Drosophila melanogaster: one gene and its partner. The gene in region 1 interacts genetically with each later gene. Each region holds a gene or a part of one and is shown on either strand. Other genes may lie near its edges. The genes, in order: Vml and pip.

What was found.
Region 2: of Vml (region 1) and pip, changing one enhances a phenotype caused by changing the other (phenotypic enhancement), as found in Drosophila melanogaster (one study listed by BioGRID).

Annotation. Positions count from the first base shown.
Region 1 is NC_004354.4:2,274,165-2,278,595, reverse strand, and holds Vml (vitelline membrane-like), read right to left. Parts: upstream 2,775-4,431; 5' UTR 2,624-2,774; coding exon 887-2,623; 3' UTR 815-886; downstream 1-814. Other genes in the region: Grp170 co-chaperone, read left to right, coding at 4,260-4,431. UniProt on the Drosophila melanogaster protein: Major early eggshell protein secreted by folicle cells into the perivitelline space and incorporated into the vitelline membrane. Localized sulfation by pip may be involved in embryo dorsal-ventral axis determination.
Region 2 is NT_037436.4:19,334,349-19,339,506, forward strand, and holds the start of pip (pipe), read right to left. Parts: upstream 3,262-5,158; 5' UTR 3,083-3,261; coding exon 2,994-3,082; intron 1-2,993. UniProt on the Drosophila melanogaster protein: Sulfotransferase involved in dorsoventral axis patterning in early embryos.

The DNA of each region.
Region 1 (4,431 bases):
GAAAGAATTGGGGGAACAGGAAGGAACTTTTGAGGTACTCAAAATGGGCCACTTATGATTTGCCAACTGAATAATACCTCTTACTCTATGGACCAGTCTCTTTAGCACATACACATACATACATGCATACATGCATACATACATACATATATACAACTCTATATAAGCTTGATTTCCGATCAATGAATCGTGTAGTCGGCAAGTTGGAAAACACCGCTTTCCACTTTCGTTTTTGATTTGAATGTTCCAAATGATTTAACTTCATAGAGTTTCTATATATATATATATATATATATATACATATATTTAGTATATACATACATGTAGAGGAGTTAAGGATACATAAGTGCTTTTTAATGGAATATATAGACCGCAACAGAGAAATTACCACTCACAATGTGAGGACAAGTAAAATTGTATTTGAATGACAAATGACAAACATATGATCTAATTATACAGAGCCTAGATGTACGTATTGTATTTATTATGAGTTGCTTTTAGTGTGATAATTCATTAGCGATGGTCATCATAAGTGAACAATTTGCAAATAAATTCTAAGAAAAGCATTAACGATTTGTTCCTGTATTTCACTAAAGAATATATAAAACTGGGATATAGAACTCAAAAGAAAAAAGAAAAAAAGAAAAGAAAACGCCATTCCAAGTCGATTTGAAACTTCAACGGTCAATCAAACACGGGTTTTTAATACCTTTAAGCTGTTTTCGGGATCAAAAGCTTGCATATCTCAATGGACTGCGTGGGTCGAAATATCTCTGTGACCTAAGTTGTTTGGCATAAAAAGGTAAACTCAATTCGTTTCACACATAATTCGCTTTTTATTAATCTCGTTTTCAAGTCAGTTTGGCCAGGAGCTTTGGATTTGCATTCAGTAACCATATCCCTGACTGCACGGTGCTGGAGTAAAAACGCTCGAGCAGCTGAACACATAGTTTTTGGGACACGGCGGTGAGGGGAGAGAGGCTGCACCATAAGCTGCAGAAGGAGCGGCTGATCCGTAGCCGCCAGCGGTCCTCGCCATACCAAGGATCTGATGATCCATTTCGGAGCGAGCGTAACCCGATGACTTCGACGCGGGCGCTGAATAGCCAGAGGATGCGGTCGAGGATGCAGGAGCTGAGTACGATGAAGCAGCTGGTGATCCAGACGAAGCAGGCGCTGAGTAACCGGAAGAAGTCTTTGGCGCTGAATAGCCAGAAGCTGGTGCTGCAGAGCCCGCTGAATACGCTCGCGCTGCTGAATATCCAGATGATGCAGGTGCTGAATACGATGGAGCGGCAGGAGCTGAGTAAGATGGAGCAGCAGGAGCTGAGTAAGATGGAGCAGCCGGAGCTGAGTAAGATGGAGCAGCAGGTGCCGAATAAGATGAAGATGCAGGAGCTGAGTAAGATGGAGCAGCAGGAGCTGAGTAAGATGGAGCAGCAGGTGCCGAATAAGATGAAGATGCTGGAGCTGAGTAAGATGGAGCAGCAGGAGCTGAGTAAGATGGAGCAGCCGGAGCTGAGTAAGATGGAGCAGCAGGTGCCGAATAAGATGAAGATGCAGGAGCTGAGTAAGATGGAGCAGCAGGAGCTGAGTAAGATGGAGCGGCTGGAGCGGAGTACGACTGAGCCTTAGGGGCTGAGTAAGTCGGAGCAGCTGGCGCTGAATAAGATGACGATGCAGGCGATGAATATGAAGGAGAAGCAGAAGAGGAATATGAGGGAGCTGCAGGTGCGGAGTAAGATGGAGCGGCTGGAGCTGAATAAGATGGAGCCTTGAGTGCCGAATAACTTGAGGCAGGCGCTGAGTAAGATGGAGCTGAATATGAGGGTGCAGCAGGAGCCGAATATGAAGGACCAGCCGGTGCTGAATACGACGATGCTGGAGCTGCCGGAGCATGGTAGCTTGGGGCGGCAGGAGCCGAGTACGAGGATGTCTTTTGCGCTGAATACGATGGGGCAGAAGGCGCAGAGTAGCTGGGTGCTGCGGGTGCTGAATACGATGGAGCAGCAGGTGCTGAATAGCTGGGTGCTGCTGGTGCTGAATAGCTGGGTGCCGCAGGCGCTGAGTAGCTGGGTGCAGCGGGTGCCGAATACGACGGAGCAGCAGGCGCTGAATAGCTGGAGGATGCAGGTGCTGAATAGCTGGGTGCTGCAGGCGCTGAATAGCTGGGTGCAGCGGGTGCCGAATACGACGGAGCAGCAGGCGCTGAATAGCTGGAGGATGCAGGTGCTGAATAGCTGGGTGCTGCAGGCGCTGAATACGATGGAGCAGCAGGTGCTGAATAGCTGGGTGCTGCTGGTGCTGAATAGCTGGGTGCAGCGGGTGCCGAATACGACGGAGCAGCAGGCGCTGAATACGATGGTGCGGCAGGCGAATAAACCGGGGCGGCAGGAGCAGAATATCCTTGGTCCTTCGCCGGCGAGTAGCTTGACTGCGAATTGTAAACGATCGGTGGGGCATAGGCCTGTGCCGGAATTTCCCTAGTGTGCCTCTCCTCGTAGTCGAACTCGGATTCGGGGAAACCGTCGTCGAACTCCTCATTCCTGGTCGCCGGAAGCGAAAACGCGTTGGCCAAAAGGCAGCCAAAGGCCGCCAAGAACAGCAGTCGTCGTCCACACATAGCTCACAGAATTAAGACTATGGTTTTTTGAAACGGGACGGGTTTTATATGGCCAAGAGAAAAACAGATCAGCGAAATTTACAAATTCACCAAGAATATTGCCCAATTGCAGTCTGCTGTGCTTGGATACTCGGTGGGTTCACTTTGTGCTATTCTGCATTTGAAGCGATTCCATTTAAATTCGCTAGATTCGATCGTTTTCCAGTCACCTATTTCTTTTTAACGTGAATAGGTGAGTTGGCGATGCGAGCAGAAAACTTAATTTAACTCTTTCAATACCCTATACGTTTGGAAGTTGGAACCTATTCAATTTTAATTTAAAGATAATTGTTGAAAAAAAGAATTGTTATCTAGTTTGGGTTTTGTAATTTTTTCAGGACAATTCGCATTACAACAAATTTAACGTTAAGCGTGTTAGGTGATTTAATTTTAGTTAATTTTTATTCTATCGAATTGTAATATAACTTACTCATCGTGTCAATAATCTCAAGAAAAAGAGTATACAAAGTATAGTTTAATAACGTGTCAGCACTTTCGTTCAAAAATTCGGTCATCGCGGGAATGCTGAGCTATCAATATGTGGGTTGACTTGCTGCCTGAAAGAAAAAAACTTGGAATTGCCAACTACATATGTTATAACTTCAGATTTTCAATGAGTAGGAAAAATCTTCCTGCTCTTACATTGACCTTAAACCAAGTAAGGGTCATAATCATTTAGTGTATGGTTTTCATTTGGTGTTTTGCAATTAATCACGAAATTTTGTACAAAAAGAATTTAATTGCACACAATAAGTATTTAAATTGTGGCGGTCACTTCAGTGCGATGTGGCAGCGCCTGCCTTCCCAAGTGACAGTCTCTCGATTGTTTTATCGATTGCTATCGCCCGGTCGAATCAACACGTCAACGTTTTCCTCTTCTTCTTCGTGTGCCGCTGCTTGTTCTTCTTAATCGCGGCGACTCTGTTTTTTACTTAACAACTCGAATAGCAGTCGACGTTGTGAATTGAATAATTAATAAATAGGTGACTTCTGAATAAAAGTCGATTGGAGAGTGCGAGTGGCAAAGGACAGCTGGAAGCGACGAACGAAACGGGACACGTAAGTGGAAAGCGGTACTTGGCTGGAAGGATGGAAGAGTTAGGATAGGCAGAGGGAGGGTGACGGGGCGCAGACAGCTGCTTGCGTTGCAAAAAAAAAGAAGTGAAAGAATCGCGGAAGAATTGTGGAAGTAAAAGGTTAATGCTCTCTTCACTGATTTTCCGTGAAGACTTTTTAAAAGCCATTTCTCCCCAGTAATTTCACCGGTAAACTATATAGATCTATGTACGAGTTAAACACTATTTCCGCTGCCACATGAACACAGGTTTCCTCGCATAAGCCAGACGTACTTTTCGTCCCACAAATTATCTGTTAAAACTGTTGAAAACCCAACTAATTCTTGTGTTATTAATGCAGCTAAGAAATATAGGTAAAAGTAGTTGGTGAATTTTTGTATAATGTTAGCCTTTTAAGTTAAATCGTTGGTCTTTCTAGAAAGATCTTACAATGCAGAGGGTAAATACATATGGAGTACTTAATGGGGTATCTAATCCTGTGCACAATGCTTTAATTTGAACACCTTTCAACCGCACAGACCATGAAACTCGTGCTCCTTTTGAGCGCCCTGCTGGCGGGGATTGCCCTTTCCCAGGGAGCCGCCGTGATGTCCGTGGATCTGGGCAGCGAGTGGATGAAAGTGGGCGTTGTGTCGCCTGGAGTGCCTATGGAAATCGCCCTGAATCGCGAGTCCAAGCGCAAGACGCCCGCGA
Region 2 (5,158 bases), on another chromosome or scaffold:
AATTCACTGTTAAAAATCCTAAGAGTGTAAACAAGATTGTGTAAGCGGAAAAAAGCTCGTAAGGCCCAACTCACTTGTTTCATTCTTTTTTAATAATATTTTCCTAAATATTTGTAAACCATAAAAAAGAAAGTCGTGTATTTAACCCTACAGCTATAAATTCGTTTGTTTCTTAGTGTGTGAAGAAAAACATTTTAATTGCCGTTTTAAAACATAAAATTTAGCACATATATATGTTTTTGTTAATAATTATTTTTTAATTTGCCACCCGCCGCAGACAGACAGCAATAATTAACTTTCCCGCGGGCCACCGGCAGCGTGTAAAATTCCCAATATGCATCATTTCCATTGCAGAAAGACAGGCAAAATAAAACAAAACGGCATGCAAAACTCGAAAGAAAATGAAGAAAAGAAAAACAAATCACATCACTGAATATAATTACCAAAGAGTAAGTGACTGCATGTCGTGGCGCCCAGAGAAAGAAAGAAACTGGCAAGAAAGAGAAGAATTGCTGAGAAAGGCGCACAGAAGAAAGACTTGAAGACTTGTAGACTCGGCAGCGAAGAGCCAGCTACAGTCTTTTCAAGCGCGGCTTGAGTCTTCGCCCTCTTTCTTTTGGGGCGTTCTAAATAATTTCTGTCACGCTTCGGCTTGCAGTGAAAATAAGAGTGAGTTTTGTTTTTTGTATTAGGTAAACCCTAATCCAAATGGAAAGCAAATCAGAAACGTAATTTATGCTAATTCGAAAGAAATTATTGCATAACTGCACTTCATTCCACTCATTGAGCGTATAATTGTCTTTTTTGACTTTTCAAATCGATTCGAATCGATTCCGACTGATTTTTCTCAACTGGGTGCAACGAACTCATTTTCTACGTATGCTCATTTATCGCGTGTCCGGATAATGAAGCTGCCAAACATCTGTCGCCGAGTTATTTAAGCAAAACCAATTAATTTCATTAATTAATATCAATTTGAGAGCGTACAAAAGAATTGTGCAAATAACGACGTAAGTGTACGCAGCAATATGGCTGGGAATTTATGTATTTATGTTTCTCTGCAGGACAATTCGTATCTGTTGTGATAAATCATATCCATATTCAAATATTTGCACTATTTTGTTGTGCAAATGGCAAGATTACTCGTTTCACTAAGTCGCCTGGCCATCGGAAATGGATAAAAAATAAATGTTTACCTGATTGATTGGCAGACTGACTGAGTGGCCAACTGATTGACTGAGAGTTTGCAGCTGCATGAAATTGTCAAAATGAGCGTAAAATTTATGCTCCAGCCAGCGGTAACCACAGAAAGTATCACACATATCTACATTTAAGCCATGTGTTTAATTAATGCCAGTAATTCATACATTTAATGTAATAATTTGTTCTGCAAATAAACGGGAAATGGGCCTCGCTTCGCGAAAATTAACGAGGGCTTTATAGGAAAAAAGGATATCTAGCAGGGACTCAATAAGTGGGAAAATGTTTAAATAAAATATAAAACATATGTATGTCGTTGATCCAATTTGCCATTAGCTTGAGCTAAGATCTCACAGTTATACGCAAATAGCTGTGAGCCATGACTTCACCACGTTTTGCCTTAATGAAAAGCAAATTCTCACACCCTTTTAAAAAGTCAACAAAAACGGTAAGAAATAGTTTCCCAAAAGCCAATTAGCCCATAACATGTGTAGTCGGTATATCATTAGTTTACATCTCGACGCACTCGTTGCAACAAATTTGGCCATACAAACGGAAAAAAGAGCGAATCTTTCACAATAGCGGACGCAGTGGCTCAGTTCTCTGGCCTAAACACCTTTTAATAGCCAAAATTGTTATGGGCGGCCGCAGAAACCGCCGGCCGTCGACCATCGACCATCGACTAATGAGCGGGCAGTCAAGTTGGGGGGCTCTTAACTTTTATCTGAGCTGACTTGGCCCGAACTGAGCCGAGTTGGGTTCTGTAAAAGGCCAGAACAAACACCGAAAAATGCAGGCCCACACAATGCAGTGGTAGGATGGTGGTAAGACACGGCTCTTTTGGCTACTTGAAATAGTTGAAGTGAGCTCGGCTTTTGTGGTTTTCCTCCTCTTCATCTGCCGCCCCGAGGTGCTACACCAAATGAATTATGAGAAGAATTGAAAATGAAAAACGCAATAAAAAATAGAAACAAGATTGTAGCTTTTAACTGGAGCAGAGATTGAAAAAACGACAGACGCAAGTGCACAGAGAAAAGTTTATGAAACATTTAAAATTAAATGTTGAAGTACAGTGTTTACAAAGCTTTAATACTTGCTTTTAATAAGTCTTCAAAATATAAGAAAACATTTTCAAAGTATAAATAATAAATACAAAAAAAATAAAAGGATAAATAATAGACCCCTTTTTGTATATATAAATTTTTGAAAATATTTTCAATTGATACAGTACTTGGAAGCTCATATCAGCATTCGTAACAATTTTTCATAGCTTAATTAAAAGTACTCAATCAATTTTTTAAAATAAAGTTCTTAAAGCTCGTCGATCTACATAAACCCATCTAAGTCGATGAGATTCATATTAAATTTAAGATCAAAAATATCTATTTCTTCTAGTGTAGCTGCAATTAATTTACTGGCTGGCACTACTTAAAGTCCGTCAAGAATGTTCGAACTGCTCTGGCCAGCAATTGGAGTTTTTATTTAATTTTATTTATCAAATACAACGACCCTGAAACACTATCACTTTTAGCCAGATGCGAAAAACGGAAAGTTAAGCGCTTTTTATGGAGAATCGAGAGCAGAGTATTTTTAATCTTTAGCGCTGCGGCAAACGCAATCTTCGATCTACCAACTCGATTTCGATTCTCTGGCCATTCAATGGCAATTATGACCGGTTTTCAATTTAACTGAAACTGGAACTCAATTGCATTTCCCCTTTGAAACGAACACCGTTCTCGAGTGAAAGAAATCTTTTCTCCGCCGCCTTTTTCTCGGCTGAAGACCACACTTACCGCTTGGGATACGGTATGCGCCGGTATTTGAAGGCATTTTCCACATCGCGCAGTTTCATTTTGTACGATCGCTCGGCGTTCAGAGACATCCAATGTCAATTACACAAAAAACACAATCGCTTGAGATCTTAGTTCTCGAAGACCTTTCTTGGCCGAAAGAATTTTCCGGTCGGCACTTGGGTTCACTTGAGTTCCGATTCACGATTCGAAGACTTAGAGATATAGACGTCCGTAGAGCTCGGCGATCGCGGCTTGACTGAATGTTCCTGGGGGCACTTGGCCGCCTTTTTGGCCAACTTTAAGACGTTGGCAGCGGCGGCTTACCACTGTTTGCTTTTACCATTTTCTTCGACTCTCTTTGGCTCTGTTTATTCGCTCTTTTGATCGCTCTTTGTTCGCTGGCTGACTGATTTCGTGGGGACGTGACTGTAGCCCATTTGTCTGTGGCAACATTTTTATTATTACCCCACATCTGACATTAATCTACTTAGACATATTTATTTAGGTCGTCCAAACAGCGAAGTGTCTTTATTCTCTGCGCAAGGAATCGAATTTCGGGCACTTGTTTCAATATCCTTTATTGGATCAGCTGGTTTACCGACCTTAATGGTAATTTGTTCGGTTGAATAGAACATATTGCGTGTGATCCAAACCACGTTGGCAAAAATAAGAACTTTAGTTTTTTCTATTTCTTCATAGAGGAAGGGAGAATTAGAATTAAAAACAGGTTTACCTTTGAACCCATCCCCCCCAATGGACAGTCGAAAAGTTGACCTTCCCGCTTTTGTAATTTCCATCGATTAGTTTTGGCCATTCGTACATATATAAGCGATTCTTCTCGATGTCTGTCTTCTCGCCTCGTTCGTTAGCCAAACTTCGGGATCTAAGCTTAATTTTTGCCAAACTCAAATCTATAGTTTCTACAAGAGTTGGATTCCGCGATCTCCCCACTTGCTGTCCACAAAGCTAAGCTCATTGACCCTTATTCAACAGTTGACTCTTATGGCACAGTGCCTCAAAGAAATCTTTTTTCCGATTAAATTAGAACATTTAAAAATTAAATTGAGGTACGAATTTTTAATTTACGAGAATTAATACTAGATTTCAATATATTTATACCTTTACTCTTTTATTTAAGTGTGTCTTATCATATATTACTTTAAATTATCTTTTTCAGGTACCTTAACTTTTAACTCTCACTGTAACTGACTTGTCCACTAACTGGCGTCAGACGGCTGTCGAATTTAAGCGTTTACCCATAACTATCTGCATAGGTCCACATTTTTAGGACCGACAAAAAACTGATTGTTTAGTCTTATTAAACTTTTTTTATTTCAGCAACAAGTTGAAAATTCGTGTAAATTTCTCGATAACAATTGCAAAAAAATGGAAAAACGCCAGCCTCAACATAAAAACAGCCAAAACATAAAAGTAAAATTAAAACGAAATGCGTTGGCGGCACATGTCTTGTGTTTATCTGGTAATAATTAAAGGTATTTCAGCATTTGGTACCAAGAAAGTGAGTAGCTAAAAACTTGTAAAGTTGCTGCCTATTGCATTGATGACTGTCCAAATCGACTGAGATAATTGAGCTATCTGAATGATCAGACTCTTTCTCCGATTTCGAAACTTAAAAGCCGACGAGTTGTTAGGCTGTCGGTTTTCGGGTTAAGTTTATCAGCTGTCCAATTGTGGTCGCTCACAATATGTTGGCTATATCTTCGGTCCGATGCCATGGTTTTTTGCTGCCAACTGTCCCTTTGTGGCTGTGCCGATTGCGCTGAGCTGGCCAACTCGATTGTAAACAACTGCAATTGGCCCTAGGTGCAAACACAAATAGCTGATTGTGTGAGTTTGTGGCAGGTGTGCGTATATATTATATTTGGCCAATACTCGGCAGTGTATTTTATGCAGCGAGGTTTTCCATGTTAATTGGTTGGCATGTTTAATACATCCGCTTAAATATATAAAAGAAATTTAAAATCGTATTCGGTAAATAAATTTATTATTTACACAAATTCTAAATTAATATATTATATGTATATGTTATATGTAAGTGCGTACGATAAATAAATAATTTCATCAATTTGCATTAATCTAGAGTGAATACTTTTAGTAGATATATGTATTATATGTATATTAATGACCACGGCATAAAAAGAACT